Oryctolagus cuniculus: one gene and its partner. The protein of the gene in region 1 interacts with the protein of each later gene in a pairwise test. Links are inferred from orthologs where the notes say so. Each region holds a gene or a part of one and is shown on either strand. Other genes may lie near its edges.

What was found.
Region 2: the proteins of GUCD1 (region 1) and CTH interact in binary tests that used the Homo sapiens proteins (3 or more experiments, as listed by UniProt). The two-hybrid records come from large-scale screens. The link is inferred for Oryctolagus cuniculus from reciprocal best matches to the Homo sapiens genes GUCD1 and CTH.

Annotation. Positions count from the first base shown.
Region 1 is NC_091452.1:31,123,451-31,130,118, reverse strand, and holds the end of GUCD1 (protein GUCD1), read right to left. Parts: intron 4,789-6,668; coding exon 4,547-4,788; intron 4,006-4,546; coding exon 3,914-4,005; 3' UTR 1,978-3,913; downstream 1-1,977.
Region 2 is NC_091438.1:101,935,764-101,941,183, reverse strand, and holds part of CTH (cystathionine gamma-lyase), read left to right. Parts: intron 1-593; coding exon 594-689; intron 690-3,878; coding exon 3,879-3,988; intron 3,989-5,420. UniProt on the Homo sapiens protein: Catalyzes the last step in the trans-sulfuration pathway from L-methionine to L-cysteine in a pyridoxal-5'-phosphate (PLP)-dependent manner, which consists on cleaving the L,L-cystathionine molecule into L-cysteine, ammonia and 2-oxobutanoate.

The DNA of each region.
Region 1 (6,668 bases):
AAGGCTGAGCCCATTCCCCACATGGCTGTAACTGCCAAGGCTGAGCCGGGCTGGAGCCAGGAGCCAGGAGCCAGGAGCTTCATCCAGATCTCCTACATCTGTGCAGGTGCCTGAGGACTTGGGCCATCCTCTGCTGCTTTCCCAGGTGCATTAGTAGGGAGCTGGATCAGAAGCGGAGCAGCCAGGAAAGGAACCAGCAAGCATAAGGGATGCCCGTTTCCCAGGCGGCAGCTTAACCCACTACGCCACACTGCCAGCACCCAGCAAGGCTCCCTTTAAACCAGGCTGGTCTGGAGTTGGTATTATGCAAAATAGAACAATTAACAGGGAGAGTCAGGAGGGGTGGAGGTTTGAAAGTGTCCCACAGAAGCTCACGTGCTGAAAACTTAATCCCCACCATCAAATGGGAATGATACTTGGGAGGTAATCAGGATTCAGTGAGGTCACGAGGGCGGGACTCCGTGATGACATTGTGGCTTAAGACGGCGGCTCAGCTAGCACAGCTGGCTCTGGCTCACCCGCTGATACTCTCCTGTGTGATGCAGCAGGGAAGCCCTCGCCAGACACACAGTGGACTGCCCAGAACAGTGAGCTAAATATATCTATCTACATGCTGATTCACTCCCCCAGATGGCTGCAATGGCCAGGGCTGGGCGAGGCTGAAGCTAGGAGCCAGGTGCCTCTCCTGGGCCAGGCCAAAGTCAGGAGCTTCATCTGGGCCTTCCACATGGGTGGCAGGGACCCATGCACTTGGGCCATCTTCCCCTGCTTTCCCAGGCGCATTAGCAGGGAGCTAGATTAGAAGTGGAGCAGCTGGGACTCAAACTGGAGCTCAATGTGGGATGCTGGTATTGCAGGTGGTGGCTTTACCTGCCATGCCACAACACCGGCCCCTACTTGCTTGCTTTATAAACAGCCCAGTCTCAGACACTCAGTGATAGCCATAGAGAATGGACTAGGACAGGTTAGGATACCAAAGTTTCAATATAGGTTAACAGCTTCCTACCCTTTTTAACCAGATATGTAAGGGCAAGAAGTTCATGGGGGAAAAAAATGGAATGAAAAGCTAAGCTTGCTTTGGTACAAAATACTTTGAAAAAATGCATAGTTTTTCATGACCTCTTTGAAGACTCCTTGTATGCATGGATTTCAAATGTTTTGTACCAAGATAAACTTACCTTTCACTTCATTTTTCTATGGACTTTTTAAGAAAAAGATTTATTGGGGCTGGCATTGTGGTCACCACTTTGGGTGACAGTTCACATCCCAGCTACGCCACTTCCAATCCGGTTCCCTACTGATGTGCCTGGAAAGGCAGCAGAAGATGGCCCAAGTGCTTTGACCCCTGCACCCACATGGGAGATCCAGAAGAAGCTCCTGGCTTCGGCCTGGCCCAGCCCTGGCTATTGTGGCCATTTGGAGAATGAAACAGCAGATGGTAGCTCTTTCTATGCCAACCCCTGTCTCTGTCATACTGCCTTAAAAGAAAATGTATATATTTGAAAGGGAGAGTGAGAGAGAGAGAGAGCTTCCATCCAGTGGTTCACTCCCTAAATGGCTTCAGTGACCCAGGCTGGGCCAGACTGAAGCCAGGAGCCAGGAGCTTCCTCCAGGTCTCCCATGTGGGTGGCAGGGAACCAAGCACTTGGGCCACCTTCCGCCGCTCTCCCAGGAGTATCAGCAGCCCATATTGGATGACCCAGTGGTTGAAGACCTTCCTGTCTCTCTTCTGTCTCTAAATCTGCCTCTCAAATAAATATATAAAACTTAAACGACTAGACTGAGCTCCCAGGACCATCTGCCTGCAGCCCATCCATCCCATCCAGGCTTTGCACAAGCAGCAAGGCCTGAACAGGAAGCACAAGGGCCTGGACGTGACAAAGGCAGATTACAAACTGGCTATGGCAACGAAAGGGACCCCAGTTCCCATGTGGTCGCGCTGGGGACTTGGGAAGGAGACGGGGATTCTGCAGGCCATTTTGTGCAGTGAGAATATTTATTGAGAATGGCTCATTACAAACAAAATATATTTATGTATAAAATCTCTGCAATGCAAAAGATCCCTTTCGTCCCCCTGTGGCTAGAAAGCCGCTGTCCTGTGTAGCTTTGGAGGTCGTGCTGGGACCCCCGGGTGGATCAGTGGTGGGTGCTGTGTGCCGTGGGCCAAAGCCCCTGCCGTCCAGGCTGTTTCTCCAGCCCATTTTCATGACGCGGTGTTGGGGACTCAGCCCAGGGAGATGAGTCTTGTGGACGGCCAGGCATCTCCTAGCGTGCACTGAGAAGCCATCCTCCAGGCTCAGGGCTGACATGCTAAGTGCCTGTGACCAGTGTCCGTGGAGGCCGCTCCCTGGGACAGCCCCACCAGCTCTCTGCCCTATGCCTCGTTCGCACCTGGCTGGCCTGAGTTTCGTGTCCTCCTGTTGGTTCTCTTCATTCAGCTCTGCTTGCCATTCGACCCAGACCTCTCCTGAGGACGCCCACGCCCCACAGCAGATGTGTGTGGGACTCTCAGGCTCGTAGCCAGAGATCCCTGGCACCCTGGGCCACCTGGTGTATTAAGGCAACAAAAATGAGACCAGTCTGAAGCCAACGTGAGTCTCAGAAACACAGGGTGGCTGCCCAGCCAGCAAAGGCTGTTGCCAAGGAGTTAATAGGGCTGGGGGGTGGGGGGTGGGGGGGCTCACAGCCCTGGCAGGCAGAGCCTCTCACTGCCCGAGAACCACCGTGATGGCCAGCGGGCAGCCGTGACCACATCATGCCTCCAGCACCGAAAGACCAAGACCCGGGGTGCAGACAGATACTTCCTCCTCCCAAAGGTGAGACCTCCTCTCTTTGAAAACAGACCTGGACTGGCTGACCCCGTCCCGTGAGAGAGGTGCTAGGGGCTCCAAAGTACCTGCAATCTCACTATTATTATCTTACGTGAAAGCGATTTCTCACCCTCTGAAAGCAAAAACTTATATCTAAAAAAAAAAAACAACAATACACACACACACACAAACCCCAAACCAAAAGAAAAAAAAAAAAAGGAAGGAAACAGCTCCAGTTGTGGTACTTGCTGCGCTGTGTGATGACAGACCCAGCACTCCATGCAGAGTCCTGGCATCAGTGGCAATGGCAGCGGGGAAGCCAAGGGCTGCCCCTGCTGCTGCCGCAGGAGTGCAGGCCTAGCACCCTGCACCCAGAAGATGGGTCCTGCCGCCGGCATCCTGGCTGGTGTCAGGAGGCCCCCTGAGCCCTAAGCACACTCTGTGTCGCCGGCCATCGGGCCCCCGCCAAGAGGACCCTCTACTGGATAGGGCTGGACTCCTTAGAGGGCTGCAGGAGGCCTCCAAGCCCCCAGGCACCGGGGCTCTGCAGGGTGGGGTGGCTGTGAGATGTGTCTACACTGTGGCAGAGGCTAGGCGACCTGGCAACCAGCCACGGTGATCGGGCCTAGAAGGGGGTGGGATGAGGCGGTGATGGCACGCACCGTAGGGCACGTGGGGTCTGCAGCACCTCCGGGCGCCTGGAGCCAGAGGCTGGCTGTGCTCCCCAACCCCAGAGGTGCTGTCCTGATAATCAGCACCAGCCACATGGTCTCTCTCTCCAGGGCTTGGTCCCAAGGTCTGTGGGGAGTGGGAGTCCGATTCAGGCCTCTTCCCCTTGCCTGGGGTCCCACTCAAAGTCAACAAGGATGCTCTTGGGGCTGGACTTCCGTTGGGCACCGCTGGAGTCAGGCTTGGAGTTCCGGGGTGTGGCTCACCTTGGAAGCAGGTGCTTCGGGTAGTGGCATGACAACACACAATGCTGGCAGATGAGGCAGCTGTGCTGGTCTCCCAGAGTTCCCTGGGGCTTTGTCAGCTCCTGAGTGGGCCTTGCTGGGGGCAGAGGGGGCGGGATCCAAGAGCCTGGGCACACCAGGCTCCTGCTGTCAGCTGTCCAGATAGACAAAGAGGATGTCCTCATCTGTGCCGTAGCTGGTTCTGGCCTCTTCAAAATTACTGATGCTGGTGCTGCACATTCCTGCGGCGTGGGGGTTTGTGGGGAGGGTAGAGAGGGCTCAATGGGTAGGGACACAGCACCTGCCCCACCAGCACCCAAGGGAGCCAGGCAAGACCCGACCACAGCCCACTTGGCTGGCCACTCCTCTTGGCTCAAGTCCTGCACCCCCAAGAAGCTATCCTTGCCTATTCCAGCTCTTTCTCTGGCCCCTCCCCAGGTTAGTAGATGGACAAGTAAGGCCCGGGGTGGGGGGGGGGCAATGTGCTCCATGCAACATGGACACACGGGTGGGTCTGTGGGAATCAGGGAGGGCCTTCCCCAAGCCCTGAGGGCAGTGGGCAGGCCCAGGTGGAGCAGGGGCCATGTCTGGCCAGACTGTCTGTCTGTGGCATGTGCTGCTGGCTGTCCTGAGAGGAATCGGGGTTGGGCGCTTAGGTGGCGAGGCAGGGCCCTGGGCGGTAGCACGGGGTTGGTGGGAGGGCGGGGTGGCCCTGAGGAGCAGGGGTTTTGGGATGAGGTGAAGGGGTGGGAGGGGAGGGAGTCCTGGGGGCCCAGCACTCACGGTCGGCGTAGGCTGGGTTGTTGTAGAAGATGCAGCTGGTGGCCCGGCTGTAGCCGCGCAGCACGATGAAGTGGCCCTGGTAGTCGGGGGTGCGGCAGAAGCAGCGGTGGCCGCTGGGGGCGAAGCAGCAGTACTTGACGGGGCTGGAGCACAGGTCGCAGTGCAGCACCCCCGAGTTCACCAGCACGATGGCCACGTGGCCCTGGGCCAGGTGTGCCTGGATATCCTGAATGCTCACAGCACTGGGGGCGCGAGGGAGGGAGGGAGGGGTCAGGTTTATCCCTGCTTCTGTCTCTGTTCCCCTGGGCCCCCAGTTCCTCTGCCCTCTGCCCTGAGCTCCTTGCAGGTGGAAGAGCCCTTGTGTAGTCACTGCGCAGGCTCAGTGTGGGGTGGGAGGGGACAGTTCCCAGCGTGCACCAGACGAGCTGGCACCATCAGTAGAGACAAGCAGGAAATGGGCCACTAGAGCAACACTTGGAACCTCACTCCCAGCCTGGGTAATGAATTCTTTCTGCCAAGCCCGTTTGTTCTTTATCCTCCATCAAGTGTGGTTTATGCTGGAAGCCGCGGGCCCAGTTCAGTTCCCCAAATCCGAGCCAAGCTGGGCTGAGCCAGTTTGTTAACCAAACGCTTCTGTGAAAGGGCTCTTTCTCCTTTCTAAGGTTTCTTGTGGCAGGAGGAGCAGCTCCAGGGGAAATACACACACACCCCACCCAGTTCTGCAGACACAGCTGTCTGGAGCCGCCCCGAGGGGCACACCCCAGGCACCTCTCCAAATAAGCACCTAGAGGGACCCAACAGTAGGGCTGCTCTGCTCTTTACGTGGGCTCCTTCATCAGTCTCCTGAGGAGTGGCAGCGCCGGCACCACAGGGCCTGGCCTGACTCCAGCCACGGCCGAGTCACACAGCAATCTGGTTTGCAGCCTGGGCCGGGGAAACACGCCACGCCATGTTTCCATTTGGTTTTGTTTTGTGTTTTTTTTTTTTTTTTTTTTTTTGACAGGCAGAGTGGACAGTGAGAGAGAGAGACAGAGAGAAAGGTCTTCCTTTGCCGTTGGTTCACCCTCCAATGGCCGCTGCGGCCGGCGTGCTGTGGCCAGTGCACCACGCTGATCTGATGGCAGGAGCCAGGTACTTATCCTGGTCTCCCATGGGGTGCAGGGCCCAAGCACTTGGGCCATCCTCCACTGCACTCCCTGGCCACAGCAGAGAGCTGGCCTGGAAGAGGGGCAACCAGGACAGAATCCGGCACCCCAACTGGGACTAGAACCCGGTGTGCTGGCGCTGCAAGGCGGAGGATTAGCCTAGTGAGCCACAGTGCCGGCCCTCCATTTGGTCTTTGCAACACAAGAGCCTGGCCCAGTTCTCGACCATGTGTACGAGAGGGGAGTGCAGCTTCAGGGAAAACGCAGGGTCAGGCTGGGCAGACACGGTATAGCTTCACAGAACAAGCGTGGCTCAATGCCAGGGAGGCCGTGGGCCGTAGCAGGCCAGCAAAATCATTTGGTCTGGCCTTGCCAAGGCAACCACAGCTGGGACTCAGAATTCAATAGCTCTACAGCAGGCTAGTTTTTAGGCTGGTAATTTTGTATGACCCGCGGACGATGCTGTACCTATCCAAAAGGCCCTTGACAGGAAGAAAGCTTCCCCACCCCTGGTCTCAGAACTGAGTGGAGATTTTTTTTCCCTGCTTTCCAAATCACCTATCTTGCAGGTCATTATTTTGTTAATAATGAAAGTGCGAATCAGTAAAGAAAGGAGGAATTCCCAAGAGTGACCCCGGGAGCTGATCTGGGACCAGACGCAGCCGGCCTGAGCACGGCCACCACCCACCATGAGCTCAGAGAAGACCCCACTCACATCTGGGCCAGTTGCTGCCATGGTCCCTCTGAATCCAGCCCCCTGGGTGTATATGGATGAGAAGGGGGAGGAGCCTGTGAGGCCACAACAGCCCAGGGAGAGACTGGCTGCAGCCTGTCCTCGCAGCATCTGCTCAGGATCCACCCCAGGCCAGGGCCTGGGCCATGGAGCCCCACTGATCCCCGTTTCATGGATGGGAAAGCCAAGGTTCACGGACCACGTGGAGAGCAGAGTCCGAGCCTTTCCCAAACGCCATCCTAAG
Region 2 (5,420 bases), on another chromosome or scaffold:
TACATCTGCTGCTTCACTCCTCAGATGGCCTCAATGGTCGGAGTTGTACCGGTCCAAAGCCAGGAGCCAGGAGCTTCTTCCAGGTTTCCTAGGGCCCAAGGACTTGGGCCATCTTCTTCTATTTTCCCAGGCCATAGCAGAGAGAGCTGCATTGGAAGTGGAGCAGCCTGGACTTGAACTGGTGCCCATATGGGATCTGGCACTGCAGGCTTGGCTTTACCCTCTTCACCACAGTGCCACCCCCTCCCCACAAATTTCTTCAATTTGTTATTTTTGAATTGCAATTTAATTGGTAGAAGGCCTTTAACCTCTCATTTTTGTGAAGAATTATTTCCTTGAAGTGCTTCGGAGAAATGTAATCAAGGTGGAACTGATGTAACAAAAGTTTATGGGCCTTCATTATTTTAAAGATATTTTATTCTTGAAACAGAAAGGGAGATTTTATGATTCTATAAATCAAGGGATCTCTGGTAACTCAGTGGGGTTGTCTGTTCTAGCATAGAGAGGGACATAAAGCAATGCAATAGGTACTATAGGTATTTCTTCATCTTTAGGTCTGACTTCTGGCTTACTCTAATTTGGTTTTATTTTAGGCTTGGCCTTTGCTTCGGGTTTAGCAGCCACTGTGACTATTACTCATCTTTTAAAAGCAGGAGACCAAATTATTTGTATGGATGATGTGTATGGAGGTAAGTGACTCCTCTCATTTATATTGTGTCAACTACTATTTTAAATATAACAAAATGGACGCTAAATTATACTAACAATATTGCTGGCATTATTGATTACTGATTATTTGTTGTTATTATTTATTTTTGACTTTTTTCATTTTATTTGAAAGACATAGAGACAGAGAGACAGAGAGATTGAGATTTTCCATTTGCTGGTTCACTTTCCAAATGCCTATAACAGCCAGGACTGTGCCAGGCTGAAGCCAGAAGCTGGGTGGCAGGGATCCAAATACTTGAAGCATCATGTACTGTCTCCCAGGGTGCACATTATCGGGAAACTGAATCAGAAGTGGACAAGCCAAGACTCAAACCAGGCACTCTGATATGGTATGCAGGCGTCCCAAGCGGTCTTAACCACTGAACCAATGCTCACCCCTATTTATTATCTTTTAAAGGTGTGTTGGACACCTCTGTGATGGCTCAGACTTAGCAGATGAGGAGCATCAACACTTAGAGTCCATGCTCTGGAACTGCTTATGGGAAACGCTGCTTAATAAGAATGGTATTAATGCTACTGGAATGAATACACAGGACTTGATCGACTTTCAGATGTATTCTGCCCTAGAGAAGATAGTGTTTAAATAGTGTTCTAAAGCCAACTTAAAATTTTACTGTAAGGAAGATAAATTATAACCTGGATTCTTTTCCTTTGCCCCTTCTTTATTTTTCTTTTGGTTTCAGAGAACCTTTTTAAAATCTTTGAAAGCTGTGAGCCCCTTCCCCAAAAAGTGTTCTTGAAATTACCATGAGTATTCAGCATTTCAACTTTAGGTGTCTCCCTTAGAACCCTCCCATGGATCCAAATTTAAGAATTTGCATACCATGTTAGCTACATAAAGAGGGGAAAGGGAATGGGGGAGAAGACAGGCTTACCTCAACCTTTAAACAAGACTGATTTTTGTGTTCAAAACAATAGCAAAGGGTTTTGTAAATGTATATATAAATTCTAAATGCTTCCAAATAATTAGAAGGTGACTTAACAGAGTATTATCACTTTATCTATCTCCTATCTCAACAAAATACTCTGTATATTCTTTAAAGGAAGGGACTTAATAAGCATTTTGTTCCACAGACATTTGTACAATGTGTTGTATTTTATCTTACATCCTTGTAAAATTGAAATTACAGAGCTCTCCAACCATTAGTCACTTTTATAATGCAATGGAAAATCCTCATGGCAAGCAGAGGAAATTGTTGATTTTTTAAAAAAAAAATTATTTGAGAGAGAGAGAACAACAGATGGACAGGTAGAGAGAACTCCCATTCCCTCGCTCATTCCCCAGATGCCCACAATGCTAGGGCTGGGCCAGGCTGAAGCCAGGAACTGGGAATCCAATCCAGGCCTTCCACATAGTTGGCAGGGACCTGACTAGTTGAGCCATCATCACATGTTGCTTTCTAGGGAAGCTGGATCAAGAGTCAGAGTCAGGACTTGAACCCAGACACTCCAATATGGGATGTGGGCATCTTAACCCCTAGGCCAAGTGCTTGCCCCAGTTGTTGATGTTTTGATAGTTCTTTATATTCTTTTTCTTTCTTTCTTTTTCTTTTTCTTTTTGGACAGGCAGAGTTAGACAGTGAGAGAGAGAGAGAAAGAGAGAAAAGTCTTCTTTCTGTTTTTTCACCCCCCAAATGGCTGCTACTCCCGGCACACTGCGCTGATCCGAAGCCATGAGCCAGGTGCTTCCTCCTGGTCTCCCATGCGGGTGCAGGGCCAAGCACTTGGGCCATCCTCCACTGCCTTCCCCGGCCACAACAGAGAGCTGGACTGGAAGAGGAGCAGCTGGGACAGAATCCAGCGCCCTAATTGGGACTAGAACCCCAGGGTGCCCGCACTGCAGGCGGAGGATTACCCAAGTGAGCCGCGGCGCCGGCCTATATTCTTTTTCAATCTTTCATTGCCGAGGGTCAATCTATGTAAAATCAAAAGTCCAATTTATCTTTGATCACAGTTTCTTTCTTTCTTTCTTTCTTTCTTTCTTTCTTTCTTTCTTTCTTTCTTTCTTTCTTTGCTTACTATTAGAAATAGTTGCCTGGCCTTTTAATTTGTATATGTAAAAATCAAATCCTGAAGAGTTTATAAAAAAATTATTCAAAGTTGAAATGATTTATCTTTTTCCACTATAAAAATGTAGTAGTTTGATTTACATTGTTTCATATATTAAAGCTTCAGAACTACACAACAACAATGCTGAGAAAGTACAAAGACTAGTAACCAATTCTTTTCCATTACCAAAGTATCAGCAACAATTGTTATTTTAGATTTGAGTACCAGGAAGTAATTGTTAAAAAAACCTAATGTTTCTGGAGCCGGTGCTTTGGCTCTGGCATCTCAAATGGGCGCGTGTTTGAGTCCTGGCTGCTCCACTTCCAGCCCAGCTTTCTGCTATGGCCTGGGAAAGCAGTAGAAGATGGCCCAAGTGCTTGGGCCCCTGCACACATGTGGGAGACCCAGGGGAGACTACTGGTTCTTGGCTTTGGATCGGCCCAGCTCCAGCCATTTCGGCTATTTGGGAACTGAACCAGCAGATAAAAGACCCCTCTCTCTCTGCCTCTGCCTCTCTGTAACTCTGTCTTTCAAATAAATAAATAAATCTTTAAAAAAAAATAAATCTGATATTTCAGGGAGTATACTGCTTACTGTTTGAAGAGTAGAAATTGAGTATTTTGAGAAGTATGATTAGAAGCCACTGAAAACATCAACAAGATTAAAATAGGTCTGGCATCTCTCAAATATTGCATGCTAGTTAGGTCCATGAATTGTGGAGTGAATTCTAATAGTTGGTATATTATCTCAGCCAAATTATTAACCAAAGTCTGTTTTTTCATTTACAAAATAGGGATAATTGTACCTGCTTTAGAGAAGTAGTTGTGAGAACTGTGTGAGAAATATACCCAAGTATTTTCTGCTTTATGCCACTTGTGTATATTAAGTGAGCTTTAGTTGGCTCTTAAACCTTTAAAGTCAAGCATCATTATTTTTTATATATTGGCTAGCCAAATTATTTAACCCAACTAGAAATGCTTTCAATTGCATTTTTATTGATGAATTGGAGTTTCTTTTATTTTTAAAGTGCTTATACTTATAAGGAATGGCCATTTCTTAATATAATGTTCTCTTTATTTTATCTGATTCTCTTGCTGCAGGTACAAACAGATACTTCAGGCAGGTGGCAGTTGAATTTGGATTGAAGATTTCTTTTGTTGATTGTTCCAAAACCAAATTGCTAGAGGCAGCAATTACACCAGAAACCAAGGTAACTCAGTGTTTTGGTTTTGTCTGTTTTCCCTGTGATGTGTTTTCATTATTTCTGTTTACTAGAGAATAAAATTTAGATATACATAATGAATTTTGTTAGAAGCCATAAAAAACACCTAACAAGATTCAGATAAGTCTGATCTCTTTAAATATTATAACATGATTAGGAACATGAATTCTGTAGTGAATTCAGATTTTAACTATGTATGATAGATGGTATATATTCTCTTGGACAAAGTATTTAAAGTCTCAATTTCTTCATTTGCAAAATAGGATTAATTGTATCCACCTTACTGAAAAATAGTTGTGAGAACTAAGTGTAATGCCTGTGAAATGCTTAATATAGTAACTGGATCTATGGTAATTGTTAACAACAATTGGATACAGGACCATTCAATTCTTAACTTTCTTACCAAACTCCTATTGGTAACAGAAATCATCGTTGAGATTGGATTATAGAAAAAGAAGTTTGCTGAGCCCCAAACCTTAGGCACAGTGGCTTTTTCAGGGCTCCAGGAATATCTTCACAAATAATGGAAGTAGAGAAAGGATCGCAGCAATTTTAGCCTTCGTCCTGGGAATCTTGTGTGCTGCCGGAAGGTGTTTTGTGCCTGAGTGAATGGCAGATGTGATATTCTTTATTGGGATCTCATTTAAATTCAGCAGGGGTAAGAGAAAGACCAGTGTCTTTTATAAATCAGCCATTTCCAACTTCTTGCTCAGGATTGAAAGGTTAGAATTGTACCCAAGATTAGGTTGCAGGGAGTGCTAAAAATTTTAAATTTTTTCTCATACAAGTTACTTTGCAGATTAATATAGGGATGAGCTTTGGTAGTTAAGGTTTGTTGTCAAAGGAACTTGTTTTTCTTGCTTGGGAGAAAAGATACTTATTAAAACAGCTGGTCTGCATTATGCTTAATGAATAAGCCAGTCCCAAAAAGACAAATATCATGTTGTCTCTGATTTGTGGTAACTAATATACAGAACATATAATAAATGTAATGTGTATCAGTGAAATCGACATTTTCAGATATGATTATTGTTTATAACCCTCTTCGGTACTCCTGAGGAACAGTGGTTTTTCTGCTTACCACTTGTTGACTTCTTTATTTAGTGGAGGGTAAAGCTTGTGATTATAAATTGAAAGTATGTCATTATAAAAATTAAAAAAAAAATAAGAAAAGAAGGAGGAGGGAGGGTGGAAGCCACAGAGGGAGGGCAGGTAGGGTGAGAAGTATCATTATACTCTTACAACTGTATATATGAAATACATGAAATTTATATTTTATTTTATAAAAATAAAAATTTTTAAAAAACAATAAATGCAAAAGTAAATGAGCACAAAATAAAGTAAAATGAAATAAAGTAGCTAGTCTTAGTCTTCCTAAGGAAGGAAAGCAAATTATGTGTATGTTAAACTTTGTAAACAG